Linked DNA regions of Callithrix jacchus. The protein of the gene in region 3 binds, or shares a complex with, the protein of the main gene of each other region. Links are inferred from orthologs where the notes say so. Each region holds a gene or a part of one and is shown on either strand. Other genes may lie near its edges.

Region 1 (3,500 bases), about 88 Mb from region 3:
AAGAAATTATAAACGATTCACAGAGAAGCAGCACAGATGCCTTGGAGTTAGAGATCAGGTAAATATCTGTCTAAATTGAGAAGGACTGACGGCCAGGTGTGGTGGCTCACAACTATAATCCCAGCACTTTAGGGGGCTGAGGTGGGAGGATCACTTGAGCCCAAGAGTTTGAGACCAGCATGGGCAACATAGTAAGTCCTCATTTCTACTAAAAAAAACTTTTTTTTTTTTGACACGGAGTCTCACTCTTGTCGCCCAGGCTGGAGTGCAGTGGCACGATCTCAGCTCACCGCAACCTCCACCTCCCAGGTTCAAGTGATTCTCCTGCCTCAGCCTCCCATGTAGCTGGGACTACAGGCACGTGCCACCACGCCCAGCCAATTTTTTTTTGTATTTTTAGTAGAGAGCGGGTTCTTCCATGTTGGTCAGGTTGGTCTCCAACTCTTGACCTCAGTTGATCCACCAGCCTCAGCTTAAGTGCTGGGATTACAGGCGTGAGCCACCACACCCAGCCTGAAAAAAAATTTTTTTAATTAGGTGGGTGTAGTCCCAGCTGCTTAGGAGGCTGAGGTGGGAGGATCACTTGACCCCTGGAAATCAAGGCTGGAGTGTGCCAAGACTGCACCACTGCATTCCAGCCTGGGTGAAAGAGCAAGACTCTGTCTCAAACAAAATAAAGGACTGGAAAATCTTCAGAGCCCTTTACCAAACAGCCCCCTTAGCATATCCTGCTCCTATTTTCACCAAGGTCTTACCTCCACAGAGATGCCCCGGGCACTGGGCCCCATTGTGACCGTGCCCACCTTCACCAGGAAGTCACAGTACTGGTACCGGGTGCCCCGGGTCTCAATCTTGCTGGCCTTAGCACTCTGGAAAAAGCCCTTCAGCTTCACCATAAGCACATCAAAGTTGGTGTCAGCAATAAGACAAGGGCCATTCTCAAAGAGGGCAAAACAGCTCAATGGGTACTCTGAGTTGTGCATCACATACATCAGCTTCCCGGTCTGACCTGCAAGGGACAGAGATCCTGCTCATCATCAAGACTTTCACTGGCAAACCCCAGAGTAAAGCAAATGAATCCCCCCGGAATGAGGCCAGATAGCAATCTGGCACTACCTAGGCAGTCGTGGTGGGGCATGAGCGGAATCCTCTCACTGCAGCCTTTTCTAGAAAGGTAAGGACAGAAATAGCAGGAGAGGCAGCATGTGGTAAAATCCACCGTGCTCTACCGAAAACAGTGAGGGGCACACAGGGACCTTTAATAGTTTTGATGATGGTTTAATTCTTTTTTTTTTTTTTTTTTTTTTTTTTTGTTGAGACGGAGTTTTGCTCTTGTTACCCAGGCTGGAGTGCAATGGCGCGATCTTGGCTCACCGCAACCTCCACCTTTTGTGTTCAGGCAATTCTCCTGCCTCAGCCTCCCGAGTAGCTGGGATTACAGGTACGCGCCACCATGCCCAGCTAATTTTTGTATTTTTAGTAGAGACAGAGTTTCACCATGTTGACCAGGATGGTCTCGATCTCTTGACCTCGTGATCCACCCACCTTGGCCTCCCAAAGTGCTGGGATTACAGGCTTGAGCCACCGCACCTGGCGGTGGTTTAATTCTTGAGTGGTGGGCTCACAGATGGTCTATATGTAAAGTCTAATTCCAAGTCTACAAAGACTTTCCATATACTCTTTTGTATATTATCATACATTCAATAAGTAAAATGAAAGTAACAGCATTTGGGCAAGACAAAGGAAGCAACTGCTCCCTTCTTCTGTGCACTCCTCCTCACCTTGGGTTCCTCCCTCTTTGAGAGCTAGTAAATGGTCCTATGGAAGCAGTAAGGGGAAGGTAGACGGGAGCCAAGCTGTGATAGGTCTTGTCTACCATGATTTGAACTGGGATATGAAGAGAAGGTAGGATTCAGCCACAGGAAGGAAAGAAGACATTCTAGGCAGGGGGCAAGACAGTGGGAATGAAAAGGGTGTGGGGGTGGGGGAACAGAGGGCATGTGACTTCCCTATATAAGCTGCTGTTCATGAACACAGCAGGCTCTACACAGATCCTCCAGGCCACATCCCATCTCCTGACTGCTTGCTGACAGTTCCCACCTGTCACCTCCTTCTAAATCCAGTTCAAAACTTCTTGACTCTGAAGAAAAAAATCCATCCAAAGCTGATCTCATCATTCTGTTCTCATGTCTACTCACTGTAATTACATATTTTATTCATACCATATGAGTCTGCAAGTGTTACTGTCTTAGAAATATCTTAAAAGTCAACTAAGGGGAAGGGTTGTGTGTGTTTAATGAAAAAGGCACTTCTAGTATTAAAGACAATAACATTTTTCTTTTCTTCTTTTTTTTTCTTTGAGACAGTCTCACTCTGTCGTCAGGCTGGAGTGCAGTGGTGCAATATTGGCTCATTGTAACCTCCGTCCTCTAATCTTCTTCGGCACCTCTCAATAACCAAAGCCAACTAGTAGAGGGCCTGGAAAATACAGCTTGCAGGGGAAGTGAAAGAAATGGATCTAAGGGAAACAGGCACATGAGAGGCGTGGAAACAGTCACAGATAGGTTATAGGAGTTACCTACAGGTACACAATTAGTATGTCGCAAAGCCGTGACTCAGGACTCTGGCTCCCCAATCATAACCACTATGCTATGGAACTGTTCAAGATCAAGTTACTGCAGAGCCAAGACTAAGAGAAACAACTTCCCTAACTCATATCCAAAGAGTCTCTCTCATGGCCTGAGCCCAGGAGTTAGAGCTTGCAGTAAGCTGGGATCATGCCACTGTATAGCCAGGCAACGAAGTGAGTCTTTCACTCTAAAAAGAAAAAAAAAAAATCCTCTCTCCCTCCCAACCACCATCCCCCATCATCCACAGACCATCCCACCACCCAATACACTAAAGAGAACAATTAATTTATGCTATGTTAGTAAGGAGGCCAAGGCCAATGGTTAGGTATAGGTAAACAGAAACTTCTAGAAACTCTTAAAGCTCTAAAACAATAAATAAAGACTTCTGGGCCCGAGACCTGTCTTTCTCAAACTTCAGAGTGCATGAGGATTGTCTGGATGTTTGTTAAATGTGGATTATGTGGCCTAAGCAGCAGTCAATCAGTAAACAGGGCCAGGAATCTGCAACTCTTAACATGTATTCCAGGTGATTTTGATGTGGTTAGTCAGTGATTAACCCTCTGAGAAACATTGCTTTTAGAGTTCAAATTGCACAAAACAGCACTCAAAGAGCACAAGGGCCAGGCATGGTGGCTCATGCCTCTCATCTCAGCACTTTGGGAGGCCGACGTGGGCACATCCCTTGAGCTCAGGAGTTTGAGACCAGCTACTTAAGAAACTGAGACAGTAGGATGGCTTATGGCTAGGATTTTGAGACTGTCATCTCAGCACGTTGGAAGGCCGATGCTGGGAGATCCCATGAGCTAAGGAGTTTGAGACCAGCTACTTGAGAAGCTAAGGCAGGAAGATGCCTTATGGCTAGGAGTTTGA
Region 2 (2,976 bases), on a different chromosome or scaffold from region 3:
ATATGCTGAAACCCCAACTTGAAAAAAAAAAAGAAGAAGAAGAAAATTAACTTTACTTGCAGTGAGCCAAGATTGTGCCACTGCACTCCAACCTGGGCGACAGAGCGAGACTCTGTCTCAAAAGAAAAAAGATGACACAAATGTCACATAGGGAGGAAAAGAGTATTGATACAAGAGAGGACTAATATTGAGTCCTAGTCCTCCAGTGTTTAGGGAAGATGAGAAACACCAAGCAAAGAAGACTTAAAAGGAATGGTCAGCGAGTTAAGTGAAGAACCAAGAGAGTTGTGTCTCAGAGGCCAAGGGAAGAATAGATTTCACAGTGGGTATAATCTACTATAACAACCATTTCAGATGTTGCCAAGGGGATGAAGATTCTATGAAGCAATTAATTCTCTCCTACTTAGATACAGAAGAGGAAAGCTTTTCCTGATAAAAAGGAAACTTTAGCTGGGCGCGGTGGCTCACGCCTGTAATCCCAGCATTTTGGGAGGCCGAGGTGGGCAGTTCACGAGGTTAAGAGATCGAGACCATCCTGGCCAACATGGTGAAGCCCCATCTCTACTAAAAAATACAAAAATTAGCTGGGCATGGTGGTGCATGCCTGTAATTCCAGTCACTCAGGAGGCTGAGGCAGGAGAATCGTTTGAACCCAGGAGGCAGAGTTGCAGTGAGCTGAGATCATGCCACTGCACTCTAGCCTGTGACAGAGCGAGACACCATCTCAGGAAAAAAAAAAAAAGGAAACTTTATATTTCTTCTATAAATGAAAGACTTTTATTTGTTGGAAATTGAAGGCAATTGTTAAAGTATATGACAACAAAATAGTGTTATTGGCTGGGCATGTTGGCTTACGCCTGTAATCCCAACACTTTGGGAGACCAAGGCCAGGAGTTCAAGACCAAGCTGGACAACAATGTAGTGAGACCCCATTTCTATAAAAGCAAATAAATAAATACATAGCTAAAACAGTATTATTAATTTTTTTTTTTTTGAGATGGAGTCTCACTCTGTTATCCAGGCTGGAGTGCAATGGTGCGATCTCTGCTCATCAAAACCTTCACCTCCCAGATTCAAGTGATTCTCCTGCCTCAGCCTCCCGAGTAGCTGGGATTACAGGCACGCGCCACCACACCCAGCTAATTTTTGTGTTTTTAGTAGAGATGGGATTTCACCATGTTGGCCAGGGTAGTCTCAATCTCCTGACCTCAGGATCTGCCCACCTCAGCCTCCCAAAGTGCTGGGATTTCAGGCATGAGCCACCATGCCCAGCCAGTATTATTACATTCTAGATAGACACTGTAGCTGATTAAAGGCTCTAAGTCCAAGGCATGTTGGAAATTAGCATTAGAGAAGGCCTAAAGACTTTGTAGTACTAAATAAGAAAATTCCAAAAAATTGAAAAGGAAAATAATAACTGTCTCACAACGTTATACAATATTTTGCTAGTGTAACTCCTCTAAAATCTCATGTGTTGGCCCTATGTGTTGTGAAATGCTTCACTAAACTGCTTTGGTTTTTCATTTTAATTTTTTTCAATTTTATGCTAATTCCATGACCTAAAAGGAAAGATAGGACTCAGAGGTGCTTTTTCCCTTTTCAGGAAGTGTTTTAGATCACAGTTTGGAAAGCCTCATCCACCGCCTTCGTGGTTTGTGTGACAACATGGAACCTGAGACTTTCCTTGACCATGAGATGGTATTCCTCCTTAAGGGCCAGCAAGCCAGCCCATTTGTTCTAAGGGCCCGACGCTCTATGGACAGGGCAGGGGCACCCTGGCATCTGCGCTACCTGGGACAACCAGAAATGGGAGACAAGAATCGCCACGCCCTGGTGCGAAACTGCGTGGACATTGCCACGTCTGAGAACCTCACCGACTTCTTGATGGAAATGGGCTTCCGCATGGACCATGAGTTTGTTGCTAAGGGACACTTGTTCCGAAAGGGCATCATGAAGATTATGGTTTACAAGATTTTCCGCATCCTGGTGCCAGGGAACACAGACAGCACTGAGGCCTTGTCACTTTCCTATCTCGTGGAATTAAGCGTAGTTGCACCCGCTGGACAGGACATGGTTTCTGATGACATGAGGAACTTTGCAGAGCAGCTAAAACCTCTGGTTCACCTAGAAAAAATAGACCCCAAGAGGCTCATGTGACTAAGAGAATCTCTCCACATTTGGGGCCTGTCCTTACTTGTTTGAAAAAATGTTTTAAATGCTCCATTTCACCACTGCCAGCATTCTTCCTTCAGGGAGGAGGATGCCTCGTGATGATTTCGTTTTCATGACAGCCTTTCTACATTAAAGGCTCAGGACATCACAGAGAATCTATCTAATCCCACTGTATAAAGAGGAGAAACTGGAGTAAATTAGGTTTTGGAAATAAAAATTTCTTGTTTGGCCATTTGTGTGTAAGGTTTATAACATTAGAGGCTGTGAGCTTGTGCTATATGGTAATAAAGGCAGTGGCCTCGAATTTTGTTTAGGAAGTCTTTATTTACCCCTAGGTAACACAGATTTTCCTTCTTAGCTTTATAGTTTTAACTTTCACATTGAGATCTTTAATTCATCTAGAGTCCATTTTCTAGGGGGTTTATAAAAACCCAGGTTTCTTCTCCTGGCAGTGAATTCGTTTTTCTACCACCATCCAAAGAACAGTGTTCAGTGCTTTGTGCTGCTACCATTGTCACATAGGTTTCCATGTAGGTATTTTATTTTTAAGTTCTCCATTTCATTTCATTTTTTTTCTTTGTTTCAGTGACAGCAACACAATGTTTTTATTATTAAGGCTTTATAGTAGAGCCAGTTCTACCAGTAAGGCAGGTACCCTTCCCTTTTTGTCCTCTAAAATGGACTTACAGTGTAGTGTAGTAATATTTCAAAAAATAATAATAAAAGAAAATAGACTTAGCATCCAGGTATGGTGGCTCATGCTTATAATCCCAGTACTTTGGCAGGCAGGACAAGAGGATTGCT
Region 3 (3,500 bases):
ATTTTTGTTTGAGAATGCTCTGTGATTGTAGGAAAAGCTTGACAAAGCACCTGTGAATTTGTGTTACTTTCTTAGCAAATAAAAACATACCAAATAAAGCATCTTGTAATAGTTTCAAAATTTTATGGCTGTTAGACCTTCTGATTTGTATTATTGAATTATTGGGGCTAAAGTAAGATATGATATGTTAAAAAGAGATATATCAGAAATTGATTACTAAAATACATATAATCATTTAATTCTTCTCTTTCTTGTATTATTTTTCAAATCGTTATTTTTCAGTATATCCCAGTTCCTGATATTAATAAACCCCAGTCAACCCATGCCTTTGCAATGACTTGCATTTGGATTCATCTCAATAGGAAAGCTCAAAATGACAACTCCAAGCTACAGATTCCAATACCTCATTCCTTAAGACTTCACCATGAGTACGTTATTAGTTGCTTGATATTTAATTTTCTCATTTAATTAATAGTGGATTGCAGACTAATATTGGTGTCAGTGTCTGTGTGAAATTTGGAAATCTCCCCATACCCACTAGAGGTAAGGGCGAATACTTGATGTATATGTCATAGCAAGAGAATCTGGCCAGTACCTGTATCAGGAAACAGCTACAAGATTAGTCTTGCTTGTATGGTTTTTTTTTTTTTTTAAATTTTCATGGCTGATCTTCAGTTGTGTATTTAAAGTTATTGATATAATGAAAGCATATCAATTTTTATAAATGTAAAAATGTTTCAGAATTTCTCAAGTGCTTGGAACTTGAGCATGAGCTGACTGAGATATCACTCATCACTGGGCTGCCAGGATTGATTGAGCTGATCTGGCTGGCATGACCCTTAATATCTCTTCCAAAGTTAATATCTCTTCATAGAAGATGGCAGGGTAGTCAGACTTGATAATTTCATTTGGTTTTCATTTTATGAGATACCCCTTAACCACCTTTTCATAGTGATATCTGTAATGAAGACATATTGTTGTGTTTATAGAGAGAGATAATAAATAGAATCCTGGTTCATGAACTTGTGAGTTATTTCTTCATTCTCTGAAACTTAGCCTAATACGGTGGCTGTATATGTTTGTAGTATATACTTAACAGATAATTATTAATTGTTTATTCAAAATTATTTTTCTTCTGAAATGCTACCCAAATGTCTGTGTATGTTCCCACTCTACCTTTCACACAGAAACTATAATACCTATAGGAACAAAGATAGCATTAATAAATAATTGCATAAAATTGAACTTTTAAAAAGTACAAATTAACATTATGGAAATAATTTTCATTTTTTCTTTTTAATGGAACGTGAATTTTTAGGTTCCTGCAGCAGAGTCTGAGAAATAAAAGTTTACAGATGAATGACTATAAGATTGCCCTATTATGCAATGCATACTCTACAAATTCAGAATGTTTTACATTACCCATGGGAGCTCTGGTGGAAACTATTTATGGAAATGGAATTATGAGGATACCTCTCCCTGGAACAAACTGTATGGCTTCAGGATCTATTACCCCCTTACCTATGAACCTCCTGGATTCACTGACAGTTCATGCCAAAATGAGGTATGTTCTTTTTATTAATTTGGTTCCTCGTCAGGTAATTGCTAAGAGTATAGCATAAACCTTTATTTCATGATTGTGTATATTATTTTATGTTCAGGTACATTTAAGAAAATAATAGCTTTATTTTATTACAAAAGTGAATATTTCGTATTATAGGAACTCTAGGATTAACAAACCCAAAGAAAGCAATTGTTATAATCTCTCCATGAGAGATAAGCATTATAAAAATTTTTTGCACATATTCTTTTCTTTTTCTGTGGATGGTTAAATACGAGGACCAGTGTCACTAGAGCTTCCAACATTTTTGAGAAAGGCTAGAAATCCAGATTATTTTACTACTAGTCTTTCAGCTTTTTAGTATTGGCTCAACTTTTAAAACAAACACTGTATAGGCCAAAGAGAATTTATCTTTGAACCTCCAAGTGGAGCATCAGTTCTAGTAGAGCTATACTCATTTTCAAATGGTAACTATTGTGATAGAATTACACGTGCTTCACTTGCATATATAACAGATTTGAGCAAAGCCCCATTAGTACCTAACATTTGGGTCTTTGCAGTGATTTATTAAAGTAAAATCTGTGACAAAGTTATTTCATTTCCCAAATGTATTTTGATGCATCATTTGAGTGACCAAAATCCTTTAAGCATGCTCTTAGGAGTTTTGTTTGTTTGTTTGTTTTTGTTTTTGTTTTTGTTTTGCTCTTAGGAGTTGAACCCAAAGTTTGTTTATCCATGATCAGGGGGATACATATGCACATTGAAAGCACTGTAGAAACCAGAGTGAGTCTCAGGTTTCTAAGACTAAGGATGTGGTACATCCTTACCAAGGGTCCTGCACAACTTAAACACATTAAATGAATCAACTTCATTTGAATCATTTAAGTTCAAACGTATACTAAGTTCCTTCTAAGTAGAGTAGCCCCTGTGTTTATGTCAAAAATATGGATTTTTATTTTCTCCCCTTTTTTCTTCTCAGCCTTATTCACAGCATTGCAACCAGGGTGATAAAACTTGCTCATGCAAAATCCAGTGTGGCCTTGGCTCCAGCCCTAGTGGAAACTTACAGTCGTTTATTGGTCTATATGGAAATAGAGTCTTTGGGCATCAAAGGATTTATCAGTAAGACAGGACTTTGTGGTGTTTATAACTATTAACACATTCATTAACTCAAAAGGTACTTTTCTAGGTCCTGGGGGCACAGCAGAGAACAAGTCACCACCATGATGGAGCTTATGGAGGGGGACATTAAAGTAAATAAATGAAATATGCAATATGTCAAATGTTATATATCATAGAGAAAAGTAAAGCAAAAAAAGAGGAATAGGAAGTGTGAGGGTCAGGGGGTTTGTGGCATTTTTAAGTAAAGTGGTAAGAAAAGGTTAACGTGCTACTTGCCTGGGATGCAGTGAGCAGAGTAGACATGGTCCCTGTCCATATTCAAATGGATTCTGCCCGAAGCAGTAATGCTGTCCTCCAGTGCATACTGAGGCTGACTGGCAATAAAGAAGGAATTTTCCTGCATTGCAGAAGATACATTATAATGTCTTTTAGTTATTATATAGTTCAAAATAATACATACTTTCTAATATAGACATTTTTTCTGATTCATGGTAATTACAGCTTTTCACCAATGCAGCATAGTTTTGATTTTAACTACAGTAAGTCTTCTTAAATAACTGAATGTTGATGAAAACTTTGTTGGGGGTAGGAGGAAACAAGGGCAGGTGTAATACAATTTTTGTATTAAAAAGTGAACCTCATACTTCAAAAGGTATGGAACATTAACTGTCTCAAAATAATTTAAAAGATAACAGAATTGAGAGTTTTTTTTCATATCTTGTCTCATTTTATTTTTCCAGATATATCAGTTGCCAAATTCCAGGAAAAAAAAAAAAGCAAACTCGATATTATAATTAGGATCTGAATTTTTCCTTAC
Region 4 (4,258 bases), on a different chromosome or scaffold from region 3:
GAGGTCACGAGTTCAAGACCAGCCTGGCCAACAAGGTAAAACCCCGTCCCTACTAAAAATACAAAAAATTAGGCAGGCGTGGTGGCAGGTGCCTGTAATCCCAGCTACTCGGGAGGCTGAGGCAGGAGAATCACTTGAACCCAGGAATCAGAGGTTGTGGTGAGCCAAGACTGTGCCACGGCACTCCAGGCTGGGCAACAGAGCAAGACTCCATCTCAAAAAAAAAAAATTAGCCAGGTGTACTGGCACGTGTCTATAGTCCCTGCTACTCCAGCTACTCAGGAAGTTGAGGCGTGAGTATCACTTGAGCTTGAGCCCAGGAGGTCGAGGCTGCAGTGAGTCGTGACTGAGCCACTGGACTCCAGCCTGGGTGACAGAGTGAGACCCTTCCTCAAAAACAGAAGAGCCCTGGGGGCTTCCTCTTTGCGCTCTCTATTGGCTCACTCAATCTGAGGAATGGCTGTAGCCATGTTACAACAGTCAAGCTCCGTGCAGAGGTCTCGCGGTCAACAGCCACCGTCAGCCACCCTGGGAGGGGCCTCCCCACCACCAGTCAAACCCTTGGATGGCTGCAACCCTGCCGACCTCTTGACACCCTCAAGAGGTGCCTTGTGACACCCTCAGCCGAACCATTCAGCTAAGTCACTCTTGTGTCCCTGACTCAGAAACTGCGTTAGATAATGGACGCTTGCAGTATGAAGCTGTTAGGTTTGGCGGTGACCTGTATGCAGCTAAGAGTAAGTACTAAAACACAAGTACTACCCGCATCCTGCTTCAGAGGCGAGAGGCTAGGCACAGTGGGGACAGGGCTCCTGGGTCTGAGAGTTAGTTCGGTGCTGGAAGAGCCAGGATTTGACCCCAGGCTGCCTGACTCCAGAGTCTGCAACATCAACTATCAAAATCTGATCCGATGCCAGGCATGGTGGCTCCCGCCTGTAATCCCAGCACTTTGGGAGGCTGAGGCAGGCAGATCACGTGAGGTCAGAAGCTTCAGACCAGCCTGGCCAACAGGACGAAACCCTGTCTCTACCAAAAGTAAAATTAAAAAAAAAAGTAGGTGTGCATAGTGATGGGTGCCTGTAATCCCAGCTATTTGGGAGGCTGAGGCAGGAGAATTTCTTGAACCTGGGAGGTACAGGTTGCAGTGAGCTGAGACTGGGCCACCACACTCCAGCCTAGGTGACAGAGCAAGACTCTGTCTCAAAAAAAAAAAAAAAAAACAATCCGACCCAAGCCACAGAGGGATGTATCCTGGCTCTGACCCATCCCTCTGCACTGAGGCTACAATGTACCCATCTGGAAGAGGAGAACAAGGGCAGATGGAAAAAGAGAGGACAGAAAGGGGACAATCACACATTCAGTACAAGGTGGCTGCTGGAGCTCAGTCAGGCCTCCCTGAACGGGAAGTTTTTCATGCTTCTAAACCGGATGGCAACATTGCTGAGCACACAGAACCCACCACAGAAGTGACTCTTGACAAAAACACAATGACCCTCACAGCCCTTTCAATCGCCTAATGTAAAGGGATGGTTCTTGAAGCTTAAACCCAAACCACCTCTCATTCACAGTCCCTCACAGGGTCCCCCAACCCAGCCCAAGTGGAGAAAAAGCTCACTTAATGCCATCCAGCCAGGTGACAAACTCATAGGCGCTGCTGGTGGGAGCGTGACACTGTACGTAGGACTCAGGAGCGCAGTCCACCGTGTTGAACACCACGAGGCTGTACTGGGTCCCCCCATACTGGGAGGTGGGGACAGAGGAACTTTTAATCTGGGACCTCAATTCCCTTTTCCCTCAGAGAAGGAATCAGGGCTCCCAGCTTCCTGTTCTTCCAGAATCAGGAACTCCTCAGCTTCCTCCTTCCTCAGACCCAGAAGTCCAGGCCCAGCCCCTCCTCCCTCACATACAGGGGTCAAGTCCCAGCCCCTCCGCCTTCAGACCCAAGAATCCAAACCCCCAGTCCCTCCTCCCTCAGATCCAGAAATACAGGTCCCCAGCCACTCCTCTCTCAAATTCCGGAGTCCAGGCCCAGCTCCTCCCCACTCAGACCCAGGAGTCCAGACCCCCCGACCTCCTCCTCCCTCAGACCCCGAAGTCCAGACCCCAACCTCCTCCTCCCTTAGACCAGGAGTCCAGGCCCCCAGCCCCTCCTCACTCGGACTCGGGAGTCTGGACCGCAGCACCTCCACCCTCAGACCCAGGGGTACCGGCCCAAGTGCTTCTACCCTCAGACCCAAAAGTCCAGGCCCCTAGCCCCTCCTCCCTCAGACCCAGGAGTCCAGACCCTGACCTCCTCCTCCCTCAGACCCGGGAGTCCAGGCCCCCAGTACCTCCTCCCTCACACCCGGGAGTCCAGACCCCGACCTCCTCCCTCAGACCCGGGAATCCAGGCCCCCAGCCCCTCCTCCCTCACACCCGGGAATCCAGGCCCCCAGCCCCTCCTCCCTCAGACCCAGGAGTCCCAAGACTCACGTCACCCCCGAAGTCCGTCTCAGCAGGAGGACCACCATTAAAATACCTGTGAGGGTCGGAGGTGAAAGGTCGGAGTCAGGCCAGAAGCTGTGGGAAACTCTAGTGGGAGGGCGGGGTTCGAGTCGCGGAAACGGCACTCACTCGATGGCCGGGAGCAGGTAGTGCTTGCGGAGCCCTTCGAAGTAGGGTCCCAGGTTGGCCGTACCCTCAATCACAAACACCACGTCGGCCACGAGGCCCCCGGCGCGGGCCGGGCCCTCGGACCCGGGGACCATACCCCGCGCGGAGGCCGCCACCGCCACTGCCGCCGCAGCCGACACCGCGGAATGAGGGGAAATGCGCCTGCGCTGCGCGCGCACCCGCGCCGGGCGGTTGAGGGCTGCTGGGAACGCACGGGCGGCCATATTTGTGCGGGGCACAGGTTGAGGCTTCGATCTAGCTCCATCCTCCTTCGCCCTAACCCGTGGAAGACTCAGCAAGGACATAGTTAGCCCTTTTGGGGGGCCTGATGGGTTAGACAAAATCATTGTCAGGATTGTCAAGAACGAAATAAGTTGAAGGCGGCACAGTCGGCTGCCATCTTTGAGCGGGGCGTCTGGGCCCGCCTATTAGCTCAATGGGAGGGGCAGGAGACCTGGTTGCTATGCAACACTAACGCTGCCCTTGTTTTCGTTTTCCTTTATCCTTTCCCCCCCCCCCCCCCCCCACGAGACGGACTCTCACTCTGTCGCCCACCCTGGAGGGGAACGGCGCGATCTCGGCTTACTACAAGCTCCGCCTCAGCCTCAGCCTCCCCAGGAGCTGGGATTACAGATGCCCACCACCATGCCCCGCTAATTTTTGTATTTTTCGTAGAGACGGAGTTTCACCATGTTGACCAGGCTGTCTCGAACTCCTGACCTCAAGTGATTCGCCAGCCTTGGATTCCTAAAGTGCTGGGATTACAGGCGTGAGCCACTGCGCCCGGCCCGCTGCCCTTGTTTTCTAACCATGAGATTAAGTTTCTGGTTCTGTTCTTTCGTGCGCGGGGACTGGGGGGAGGGACGCGAGAAGGGTCCAATCGCAATGGCGGAAACGAGGTTACTAGGCAACGCTTTAAGGTTGCCCTTAACTTGGAAGGGAGGATAGTAGTTTTCCTCCTGAAAAGAAGCTGAACACGAACCCAAGTGCAAGGGTTACTAAGCAACACCTGAGCGTTGTTTTCCGGGCGAGGAGCCAGAAACTAGCCTAGAACATAAATACATTCCAGGTGGATTAAGAACATAAGTGCAACAAATAAAACACGAAAATAGCTGAAGGAAAAAAATCCTAATGACTGCCATGAAGTTTCTCAGCAAAGTCAGAATACGTAAAATATTAATTTGTCCGCAAAAGATTGCATAAAGCAAGTTGAAACATATACCACGAACTGGAAAAATCTAGCGTGTTTGTTGACAGAAATGTACTACACAAATCTTACCGATGAATAACAGTATAGAAAAATAGAAACACTTCATTGTTTTTTTTTAAATTTTATTTTTTGAGACAGGGTCTCTGTTGTGCAGGCTGGAGTGCAGTGGCCATTGCAATCTTGGCTCATTGCAGCCTCTATTTCTCACACTGAAGCCACTGTCCTGCCTCTGCAGCAGCTAGGACCACAGCCACGCACCACCACTCCTGACTAATTTTTAATTTTTTTGTAGAGGTGGGGTCTCGCTATGTTGCCCTGGCCTGTTTCAAACTCTTGGGTTGAAGCGATACTCCCGCCTTGGCCTCCCAAAGAGCTGGGATTACAGGCGTGAGCCAT
Region 5 (4,078 bases), on a different chromosome or scaffold from region 3:
AGGCACTTTAGGAGAAAAGTACTTTTATTACCCCCATTTTACAATAACTGAGAGTAAGAGAAATTAATTTGATCTAAGGCTATCTAGTGAGGGGCAGAACTTTTTCTCCAGGCTTTGGGCTTCAGATCTGGGCTCTTCACCACCACAGAGGAACAAATGGATGAATGAGAACTTCTTTTCAATTTATGACTGAAGAAGTGATATAGAAGAGTTTACCATTCATTTAACAGATACAATTACGTATCTGTAATACTTAATACAAGACCTAACTCACCGATGTTTCTAACTTCTGAGTCATATTTTTCTTCTTCTTTGTTTCTTGTAATCCTACAACCCTCAGAGAAACTGTCTTGAACTCTTATATTGAAATGTAACCCAGCCAAGCACTGAGTGTTTTATGGGAAAGAGAAGGAACCTTTTGCTTGGTTCTTACTTCTTATCACCCAGTCATTTGTAAATATACAAATATCAAGCACCTACTGTGTGCTAGGACCTTTTTTTAGGCACTAGATAGACACAAGTAAACAAAAAAAAGTAGTGAGACCTTTACATACACTAGTTCTGCTCCTCACAATAACTATATGAGGTAATGATGACAACAGTAATAGTAACCCTTAACAATGCTTATCTGTGCAGGGCACTGGGCAACCTGCTTAATTTGTATTAACTTATTACAATAAACCTGTGGGGTAAGGGGTATGTTTTCTTCATTTACAGATGAGGACACAGACACAGAGTAGGAAGTGACTTGCTCAAGCGTGGAACCCAGGCAGTGTGGCTCTAATTCCCAGCCTATTAACTACAGGGCAATATTTTGTCTCTTAAGTTTCTATCTTCATATCACAACTTTAAGGTGGCTGAGTCTTGTCCCCATCCAGATCGTCTGACTCCCAAGTCCAGAGGTTTGCGCTGCACCCCAGCAGCCTCGCGAAATAAATGAGAATGTCTTGGAATTTTTGCCAACACTTTCTCTTCCAAAGAACTCAAAATGATTTCTACGTAATTCTCATTGATTTGTGAAATGAACCTTCCTGGACTGTAAATTTCCTCGCAAATACACGGCCAGGGCCCCGGGTCATTTTACACTGGCCGAGGCACCCAGCAGATGGCGCTGTGTTAGTAGCCACCGGCTGGCTGCCCCGTCCCCCGGGCTCACCGCCTCGGCCGAAAGCTTCCCGGCGCTCCCTCGCTCACTTCTCTCTCCCCCTCCCCACGGAGTCCGGGCCCACGTGACCTCAAGGCGGCCAATGGGCGAGCAGAGAGGGCGAGCTGGTCCCTGTGGCCGCCATTAAAGCGAAGGGAAAACCCGTGAATTCGGATTAAAGGGGGAAAATCACCGCCCGCTGGGCCCACAAAATGGGGGAGACTACGGCGTCCAGGCGGTGAGGCCGCAGGAGGGCAGACATTAGACCGGCTCGGCTCAGGGACGACACGAAGACAGCCAGAGAATGGTGTGAGCCCGCAGACGCCGCCACCACCTCCGCCGCTGAGGAGACTCTGGGCTTAAGGACATCGCCGCTGCCGGGCCGGGGGCCTGGGCTCTCCCGGTTCTCGCCCTTTCCGCCTCTGTGCGGGCGCCTCCCCGCCCGGGAGAACCCTCTAGGGCTTGGGCTCTGCCGTCTCGGACTCTATTTTGATTATTTATTGTGTAATTTATTATTTTCTTGCGGTAGGGGCACACATCCCATCCGTCCCCCAAAGAGGGACAAGCGTCCGCGGGCTCCGCAGTCCGGCCCGCCAGGCGAGCGCGGCGCGGCCCTCCCGCCTCCGGCCCTCGGCCCCGGGCGGCTGGGTGCCGGCCGGGCGGCGGGGGCTGCTCCCGGCTGCGGCGGCGGCGGCGGCGGGGGGTGGGTGGGGAGGGCGGGCGGCCCGGCGGCCTCCTCTTCCATCGCCCCCCCAACCACTACCCCCCCTTCGCCCTCCCCGGTGTCTGTGTTTCTCTCTCTGGTCGGAGGCGGCGGTAATGGCGGATGGTGGGTTGTGGCGCCGGCGGCGGCTGCTGTGAGGGACGATGAGTGCCTCCTTCGTGCCGAACGGGGCCAGCCTGGAAGATTGTCACTGTAACCTCTTCTGCCTGGTGAGTGCCGGGGCCGGCGGGCGCCGAGGGAGGGGGCCGCGAGGTGCGCCTTTGGGCCGTGGGGGAGGGGGCCGGGTCTGGTCCAGATGCCCGAGTCCCCGGGCGAGGCCCAGCCGGAGCCGGCGCCCTGCGAAGCTCCATGGGCAACCCTAGGAGACGGTGTTCGCTCTCCCACGGTGCCGGGCTCTGTTTGGGGACTGTTGGCATTTTTTCTTGTCTTGTTTCGGACTCTCTTCCTCACCGTAGTCTCGTCCTCAACTTGGGCTCCTGATCTGGCAGAACACTAACCTTTCTCTCTGTCTTGCTTAACTGTTGCTTTTTTCTTTATTGGCCCGGTACTGTATCCTTGCTTCACGCTTTCCATTATTGCCCCTGCTCCCCACTGCCTTTATGTCTCACCCTGGTAATTTGGTTTCCCCATGTAAACAGGACCCCAGAACTTATGCCCTAGAAACCTGTCTTCGTTTTACTTTTTTTTTTTTTTTTTTTGGTATAAGTCAAGCTAAGGCAAGATTAGTTTCTTTTTTGGGTGACTTCAGATCTCTGTAAAAACCAGTAGGTGCCATTTCATATGTTTCTTTTTAAACTTTCAAAACAGTTTGCCGTTTTTGACAATTTCTAGCCATCTTGCCTTTATTAGAACATAATGTTTTTGTGAGAGTGGAGGAGGCTGATGGATGAGGTGCTGTGATTTTGCACTGTTTCTATATTTATTGTGTTTTGCTTGCTTTTTTAGAATGTTTTGAGCAGGCTGCTCCTTGTTTGATTGAAATGGAAAGTCGGGGGAAGCTGCATGTAGGGATGACCATTGTGTAAGTTAGCTCGGGTCTGGTAACATCCAACAGTTACGACTTTCAAAAGTACCAACTGTTGCAAATAACTTGTCCTGTATGGGACAGTAGCTGAGAGCTTCATCAATGACTTTAAGTTTGGGTGACTTTATTTTTTCATTTTCTCCCTTGTGCTATGAGAAGTATTAAAGAGTATGTGATAGGTAAGTGAGTCAAGTGGGCGGAGCACAACTAGTTGGCAAGTGTAAACTGCCAGTCATGTATCAGCAGTTTCATTTTTGGCACCTTATGCTTTGCTCCTTTAAGTTAGATTAAATAATTATTGAATTACTCTTGTCGAATTTCTTTCCGGATGCTAAATTGAGATCTTTAATACTCTTCTACAATATGTTTTTCTTTTCAATGTCCATTAATCAGCATCTCTTCACATATAGTAAGACATACACCGGGTTTTATATTTCTATGTTATCCAACGCAGTCTATTTTTGGTACTTTTAGGATCAGGTTCTTTGAAGATAGACTAGCACAAATCTCACAGTTCTTTGTGAGCGGCTATTTGACTTTTCCGATTGGGTGTGTGTGAAGAATTAACATGGATTTTTTTTCAGGACTTGTTCGGATGTCTCTTTGTTAGAGACATTAATCCTGTAAATGTGGAATAAAAACCCATGATAGGGTCTTTAATCATTGATTCTCAGTTAAAAGTTTCATACCAATGAACAAATGTGACCAGTTAGGACAGAGAAAAATGTATGTTCTGTGTACATATTGAAGTGTATGTCTATATTTAACTTCATTCAGTTTCTTTTGTTTCTACTGGGGTACATATTTGCTTATTAATCAGTGACATGGTGGTGGTTGTTAATTTTTAATAGTGTTCTTTTCCCTAAAATTCTTGGTTGTTGAATTATAAAGTCTTTTTTTGTCCTCATTTGCATTCAATATCTCTAGCATACATTGAAAAATTGTAACGCCTTAATGAAATAGAGACGTCATATTGAGTACTTTTGACTTTGAGTGAATGTGCAATAATAAAACATCATGCTTTCTTTCCTTCAGGCTGACTTGACGGGAATTAAATGGAAAAGATATGTATGGCAAGGCCCAACTTCTGCCCCTATTCTGTTTCCTGTGACAGAAGAAGACCCCATTTTGAGCAGTTTTAGTCGCTGCCTTAAGGCAGATGTACTTGGTGTTTGGCGGCGAGATC
Region 6 (4,146 bases), on a different chromosome or scaffold from region 3:
CAATGCATCTAGCTTATTTTCCAGGAATCTCTTTTGCAACAATATACTGTGAAACCTCCACTCTCCTCTCCACTAACCCTCCTCTGTTCCTCACAGGGATTTCCTCACTGTCACGGAAACCAAAGAAGCTTATTAATTACCTACACTTAAACTTTCCCTCGTAACTCTAAATGCTCTTCTTCCTTTCTTCTTCACACATGGTCACTACTGCCCAGGTTAGTACCTGACCTTTTTGGACACTTTCTGTTTATTGAGTGTCACCTGTCCCAGCCCACCCCACTCAGAATGAAAGTGGGCACCCAGTCTCCATATGGGTAGCCCCAACCTCTTCAGCTCAAAGGTGACAGAGAAGGCACCCTAATCCTGTTCTTCATGATTGCCTCATGAATTTTAATTTATTATTTTTTTAATTTTTAGGTTCAGGGGTACATATGAAGGTTGGTTAGAGGAGTAACCTCATATTTGTTTAAAGTCCATATTGTGACTCCCAAGTACTCGAGTTTGCTTGCTGTGTATATGCTTTGTGGTCCACTGGAAACCTTGTTAAAGGTTTTTTCTGAAAAATAAATAGAGAGTTACTACAAATGTAAAACCCAAAGTATCTACAAGATTGTCTGTGAGTTGCTAAACTGTTGAAGCTGGTGAAAGGTATGCGAGGGTTCACTACACTCTCTACTTTTGAATATGTTTGAAACTTTTAATAATATAAAGTTTATATTCAATAATGTTGACTATATTATTGAAACCTAGAAAGCAAAAGCAACGGAAGCTTTCAAGACGATATAAAAAAATTAATATAAACTAGGGGAGGGACAGCGGGGGGTGGGGAGTTGGGGAGGGATAACATGGGGAGAAATATAAGATATAGGTGATGGGGAGGAAGGCAGCAAACCACATTGCCGTGTATGTACGTATGCAACAATCTTGCATGTTCTTCACATGTACCCCAAAACCTAAAACGCAATAAAATATACATATATATATAAAGAAAAAATAATATAAAAATATCTAGTGTTCAATTTGGTCAGTAAATAAATACATGAGGGTAAGAGAAATCACTAAAAAAAAATCTCCGCAGAATCCAACAATCTCTGAAGGCTTTAACACCTAAAAATCTAAAGAAACCCCTCAAAGCAACTGGACCGCGACCATTCTTCCCCAGTTACTCAAAAAGATTCAGCCTCATCCAGCTGTAGCCCGCTCTAGAAAGGCCGCTCGGGGAGTCCCAGCCCCTCCTGACAGGGCGGGCAGTTCTCTCCGACCCCACCCCTTCCAAGAACGCAGCCCTGTGATTGGCCAAGACGCGTGCCAGAGCGGCCCAGTCGCGGAAGAGCAGCTGTTACGGCGTCTGTTTGTGTGCAAGAGAAACATGGCGGATCGGCTCACTCAGCTGCAAGACGCGGTGAATTCGGTGAGGAATTTCATTCGATTAACCTCTGTCCTTTTCTTTCCTGAGGTAAAGCAAGGGAGGAAAGGGGCCCAAAAGGCAAAACTTGGAAGTAGGAAGCGAACTGAGACACGGCTTCGGCATAAAGAGCGTGTCCCCCTTTATGGAGGGAGGCCCCACCGCGAACTTGGACGTTTGAAGCCGGCTGCCGTGCGAGGCAGCCTCTTTCGCCTGAGGAGACCGAGACAGGGAAGGTCGCTCTTGTCCGGGTCAGACCGCCAAGATTTGTGGGCTGCGCGGTCCTGTCGTGTTCCCTGAGGACAGTTTTATTATTAGTGGTGCTTACGGAATCTCTTTCTTTTGGGAGTTGGGGGAGAAGCCGAAGCTTTTTTCTTTCCTCATCAATTTTAATCCACCAAGGGAGGTCTCATGCTCTGGATGACTGGGTTTTTGTAATGAAATGTCGGCGCTTTCAGGTTGGTGCGGGAGCGAAGCTGAGGTGAGGTGAGAGATCTTTCGTCTTAGCTCGTTCCTATGGGCCCAGAGTCTCCTTCCATCTCTTGTCTCTTGGCCACCCTTTAGAATACATCAGTTTGGGGACATCTGTATGATAGGAAATCTTCTAATTCTCGCATACCTTTCCGTTTGAGTCCTTTTTTCTTTTTTCTTTGAGACATTGTCTCGCTTGGCCTCCCGAAGTGCTGGAATTACAGGTGTGAACCACCACACCTGGCCTGTAAACACTTTTTTAATGTCTCCCCCAAATTCTATTCTATTAAAGGCAAAGTCTTGTGAGTAGTTCCCCAATTTTGTTCCTTCTGGTTATTTTTCCTCCACAGTATTGCCTGAGTGGAAAGTAGATGCAAAGCCAAAGGATGCGTATACAATCATGAGTATGGGCCCTTAAAGAATGGGTTATGTAAACCGTAAATACATTAACCAGTAACAGTTAGTATCATTATCTGGTATTATGGACTCTACATAATTGTATGTGCTGTACTTTCATACATTGGCAGTGTGGTAGGTTGGTTTACACCAGCATCACTGCGAGCACTAAGTAATGCATTGCGCTACAGCGTTAGGACTGCTACGATGTCACTAGGCGGTAAGAATTTTCAGCTTTGTTCTAACCACAGGGGACTGACATAGTATCCTTTGATCAAGACGTCGTTATGAGGCTGTGGGTATACTTATTACCATTACAAATTACATAGTTTTCCGTTAAATAGTTTTTCCTCGATAGTTATGTTTCTCATTGTCTAATTGTGATTTAATGTCTTAAATAAGGGGCTGCAGAGAAAACATGCTGCGAGGAAAACCTAAGTACCTGGTCTCCTTGCCAGTTTTTTTTTTTTTTTTTCATTATTGCATTTTAGGTTTTGGGGTACATGTGAAGAACATGCAAGATAGTTGCATAGGTACACACGTGGCAGTTTGATTTGCTGCCTTCCTCCCCTTCACCTATATCTGGCATTTCTCCCCATTCTCTCTCTCCTCAACTGTCTACCCCCCCGCTGTCCCTCCCCTATTTCCCCCCAACAGACCCCAGTGTGTAGTGCTCCCCTCTCTGTGTCCATGTGTTCTCATTGTTCAACACCCACCTATGAGTGAGCTCATCCTCACTGGTCATTAGAGAAATGCAAATCAAAACTACATTGAGATACCATCTCATGCCAATTAGAATGGTAATCATTAAAAAACTCTGGAGACAACAGATGCTGGAGAGGATGTGGAGAAATAGGAACACTTTTACACTGCTGGTGCCAGTTTTTTTTTCCCCCACTCACTGTAAGCTAATAACTTGGTATTTTTGTTAATACATCAGGCTTTGCACACTTGAAGAGTGTGAATCTACTTGTGATAAACTGATATACTCTGGGTGATTAACAGTAGTTTTTAAGGCTGAGAGGACCAGTCTCTAAATGTTGACTTCATCAAGATAAATTCTACCCTGCAGGGACTTGCCTGGGCTGCCAGCCAGCCTCCTTCAGGGAACTACTCCTTCGAGGTTTTACAAAATCAAATTGTAATGATGCTGCTGGATAGAAATCTTATTTTAGGGAAAATTTCTTATATTCATGTATGTCTTGTAACTAGAAGGATAGTAAGAACAGAGTGAATATGGCCTTAACTTTAGGTTAAGCATACTGATAATTGGATTTTGGAGAGAAGCATTTAGGATAACTAGTATGAGTGCCTACTGTATATAAGCGCGATCATGTTTTCAAAGAGATACTCCTTCAGGAGGTTAAAAAATGTATATTCAGGAGACATTTAAGTGATGGAAAAACAGTTTGTGATTAGGGAGTTACAATGAATTGAGTGTTTTCAACTGCAGGTTCTGAAGTAAATTGGAATATGGAGTGATGTGAACCAAAATAGGGAGAATCTTCTTAAGCATTTATTCTAATCATAATTAATTATTTGTATAACTTTTAACAGTTGTTCTACCCTCTGAAAACTGAGTGCAGAAGCTATGTCTCATTTACTATGTGTTTATATACAATACTTGTCATAGTTATTTTCCATAAATTTTTGTTGACTAAATGGATCTTAAGAGCTTTTGAAGAATGGAACAGATAACCACTGTGTTGAATATTTTTGTGTCTTGTCTGTTCCTCACAACAATGTTGTAATATGAGAATGTATCCAATTTAAAAATGATAAATGCTACTTGAGTTAATAGAACTAGGATTAGGATCTAGACTTGTATAGCAGCTGAGCGCTTATTGCTCCATTACAATTAGCAAAACCTGGAC
Region 7 (2,323 bases), on a different chromosome or scaffold from region 3:
ATCCCCGGCCGAGCCCCTCCTGTCCCGGGCAGGCTTCTCCCCAGACTCCTCCAAGGCGGACAGTGATGCTGCCTCCTCTGGGGGTTCGGACAGTAAAAAGAAGAAGAGGTACCGGCCTCGAGACTACACGGTTAACTTGGACGGGCAGGTGGCCGAGGCGGGCGTCAAGCCTGTCCGGTTAAAAGAGCGGAAGCTCACCTTTGACCCCATGACAAGACAGATCAAACCTCTGACCCAGAAAGAGCCAGTGCGGGCAGACAGCCCTGTGCACATGGAGCAGCCGTCCAGGACAGAGCTGGACAAGCAGGAGGCCAAGGCCAGCCTCCAGAGCCCCTTCGAACAGACGAACTGGAAGGAGCTGTCACGCAATGAGATCATCCAGTCCTACCTGAGCCGGCAGAGCAGCCTGCTCTCATCTTCGGGCGCACAGACCCCGGGGGCTCACCACTTCATGTCTGAGTACCTGAAGCAGGAGGAGAGCACCCGGCGAGGGGCCAGGCAGCTGCACGTGCTGGTGCCTCAAAGCCCGCCCACGGACCTCCCTGGGCTGACCCGGGAGGTCACACAGGACGATCTAAACAGAATCCAGGCCAGCCAGTGGCCGGGGGTGAACGGGTGTCAGGACACACAGGGTAACTGGTATGACTGGACGCAGTGCATATCGCTCGATCCTCACGGTGACGATGGGCGCTTGAACATTCTGCCTTATGTCTGCTTAGACTGACCGGCCCGTCAGCCACAAAGTGCATTCCCATCTTGCAGAAGCCAGGCGGGCAGGCAGGTGGGCGGGTGGCCAGGGCCCAGCTGCCTCCTGCGGCTGGGAACTCGGGGAGCCCGGCCTGGGCAGGAGGGAGGGGGCGGGAGTCATGTGGTCTCTCTGTGCACCCTTCCCTCAAAACTCTCCTTTTGTGAAATGCTGCTACCAGTTTACTAACAAAATTGCGAAGGAAGGACCGTGCGGAAGGAAGGACGGCAAAGTGAGTTCAGAACTCTATAGCAAACCAGCTATAAAAAGCGTTAGTCCCTCACCCCTGAAGAGGTGCGGACACTTTCCAGCACCTGAATGCTGGGACCTCAGTTGCAGGCAGGCACAGAAAACCTGTGGGAGAGGTTACCTTTAACACAGCAACAGAAGCACGCATCTCATCTCTCTTGCATTTCCTGTTCTTTAATTTGGCCCCGAGTGTCTGAGAGACAGTGGGCCATGCCACAGCCTCTGTTTGCCCCTACCCAGCCACTGTCAGGCCAGTGTTGTCCATCGTGTGCCAGAAGCTCCTCAGCTGTGGCGAGCCACTGGCATTGGGCAGAGAGGCCAGCTGGCTAACCAATATGACCCCAACTCCATGGGCAGCCACCTGTTTATATCTGGTTTCAGTTATAACCCAGTATTTACAGAAATGCTGCAGAAATTTAAGTTTTTTTGGGTTTAACTCCTCTTCCATCAGACCACCAAACAAACTTTTCCTTTCTTCCCCCCTTTCCTTTTTTCCCTTCCTGTACACATCTAGAAAACTTCACCTTTCTAGAGTCCCCCCTAAACAACACAAAAGTTACTGTGGGTGCTACTGGTTTTATGCTGTACTGTGGGGCGAGAGGGCAGACCTGTCTGTACGCTGGAAACACTCATAACCATTCCTTTAGATTCGTTTGCCTTATGGTTATTTGTCATAAACGCGATTTGCAAAAACAAGGAGCCTTAGTGAATGTACAGTACATAGACTTCTGTGTTCTCAGGACGCAGAAGGGAGCAACTTTGCTATTTGGTCCAGTAAGTGGACACCTTGTGATATAAATGTGGAAATAAAAAAACCCATTTGCACAAACCAGTATGAGAATCTTTTCTTATTTGGCCCTTCACTGCCAAATCAGCCCTTTCCTGGATTGTGGATTAGCCAGGAAGACCTAGACCCTCCAACAGCTGGGATATAGGGAGACAGGGTAGGGCATAGCCTTGAAATCCACCTGTTAGCCTGCTGCTGCATTTGGGAGGAACCTTTTATTCATTCAGGGGCACATTAAGGAACGTTTATCTTGTCTCACCCAGACCTGACTGGCGTAGAGAGCAGGCTCCATAGCACAGGTCTCTGACTACTCCCACCTCAACAAAGTTCTTACAAGGGATGGCCCAGAGGCTCAGAGCTGTGTGTGTGTCCGGCAGCCCAGCCCTTGGCCCTGGCCCTCAGCTGCCTTACTAGCTGGTTGGTGCTGACACCAAAAAAATGTTTCTCTCTTGGCTATGGAGTGGTAATATTTTAGTTGTCCCTCATCCCCAAAACTGTAAGCTAAGACTGGTTTTCTAGTTTCTCACTTTGGAATAGGTCAT

Evidence for each region.
Region 1: MED23 (region 3) and MED20 share a complex: the UniProt entries of both Homo sapiens proteins name them as parts of the mediator complex. The link is inferred for Callithrix jacchus from reciprocal best matches to the Homo sapiens genes MED23 and MED20.
Region 2: MED23 (region 3) and MED18 share a complex: the UniProt entries of both Homo sapiens proteins name them as parts of the mediator complex. The link is inferred for Callithrix jacchus from reciprocal best matches to the Homo sapiens genes MED23 and MED18.
Region 4: MED23 (region 3) and MED25 share a complex: the UniProt entries of both Homo sapiens proteins name them as parts of the mediator complex. The link is inferred for Callithrix jacchus from reciprocal best matches to the Homo sapiens genes MED23 and MED25.
Region 5: MED23 (region 3) and MED13 share a complex: the UniProt entries of both Homo sapiens proteins name them as parts of the mediator complex. The link is inferred for Callithrix jacchus from reciprocal best matches to the Homo sapiens genes MED23 and MED13.
Region 6: MED23 (region 3) and MED21 share a complex: the UniProt entries of both Homo sapiens proteins name them as parts of the mediator complex. The link is inferred for Callithrix jacchus from reciprocal best matches to the Homo sapiens genes MED23 and MED21.
Region 7: MED23 (region 3) and MED26 share a complex: the UniProt entries of both Homo sapiens proteins name them as parts of the mediator complex. The link is inferred for Callithrix jacchus from reciprocal best matches to the Homo sapiens genes MED23 and MED26.

The regions. Positions count from the first base shown.
Region 1 is NC_133505.1:50,414,872-50,418,371, forward strand, and holds part of MED20 (mediator of RNA polymerase II transcription subunit 20), read right to left. Parts: intron 1,010-3,500; coding exon 756-1,009; intron 1-755. UniProt on the Homo sapiens protein: Component of the Mediator complex, a coactivator involved in the regulated transcription of nearly all RNA polymerase II-dependent genes.
Region 2 is NC_133508.1:65,007,660-65,010,635, forward strand, and holds the end of MED18 (mediator of RNA polymerase II transcription subunit 18), read left to right. Parts: intron 1-1,603; coding exon 1,604-2,157; 3' UTR 2,158-2,476; downstream 2,477-2,976. UniProt on the Homo sapiens protein: Component of the Mediator complex, a coactivator involved in the regulated transcription of nearly all RNA polymerase II-dependent genes.
Region 3 is NC_133505.1:138,246,474-138,249,973, reverse strand, and holds part of MED23 (mediator of RNA polymerase II transcription subunit 23), read left to right. Parts: intron 1-282; coding exon 283-428; intron 429-1,318; coding exon 1,319-1,564; intron 1,565-2,540; coding exon 2,541-2,683; intron 2,684-3,500. UniProt on the Homo sapiens protein: Required for transcriptional activation subsequent to the assembly of the pre-initiation complex. Component of the Mediator complex, a coactivator involved in the regulated transcription of nearly all RNA polymerase II-dependent genes.
Region 4 is NC_133523.1:43,593,207-43,597,464, reverse strand, and holds the start of MED25 (mediator of RNA polymerase II transcription subunit 25), read right to left. Parts: upstream 2,801-4,258; 5' UTR 2,748-2,800; coding exon 2,614-2,747; exon of another isoform or gene 2,519-2,613; coding exon 2,473-2,518; intron 1,741-2,472; coding exon 1,616-1,740; intron 1-1,615. UniProt on the Homo sapiens protein: Component of the Mediator complex, a coactivator involved in the regulated transcription of nearly all RNA polymerase II-dependent genes.
Region 5 is NC_133506.1:94,750,689-94,754,766, forward strand, and holds the start of MED13 (mediator of RNA polymerase II transcription subunit 13), read left to right. Parts: upstream 1-1,278; 5' UTR 1,279-2,011; coding exon 2,012-2,077; intron 2,078-3,927; coding exon 3,928-4,078. UniProt on the Homo sapiens protein: Component of the Mediator complex, a coactivator involved in the regulated transcription of nearly all RNA polymerase II-dependent genes.
Region 6 is NC_133510.1:44,221,742-44,225,887, reverse strand, and holds the start of MED21 (mediator of RNA polymerase II transcription subunit 21), read left to right. Parts: upstream 1-1,346; 5' UTR 1,347-1,369; coding exon 1,370-1,411; intron 1,412-4,146. UniProt on the Homo sapiens protein: Component of the Mediator complex, a coactivator involved in the regulated transcription of nearly all RNA polymerase II-dependent genes.
Region 7 is NC_133523.1:15,191,303-15,193,625, reverse strand, and holds the end of MED26 (mediator of RNA polymerase II transcription subunit 26), read left to right. Parts: coding exon 1-724; 3' UTR 725-1,823; downstream 1,824-2,323. UniProt on the Homo sapiens protein: Component of the Mediator complex, a coactivator involved in the regulated transcription of nearly all RNA polymerase II-dependent genes.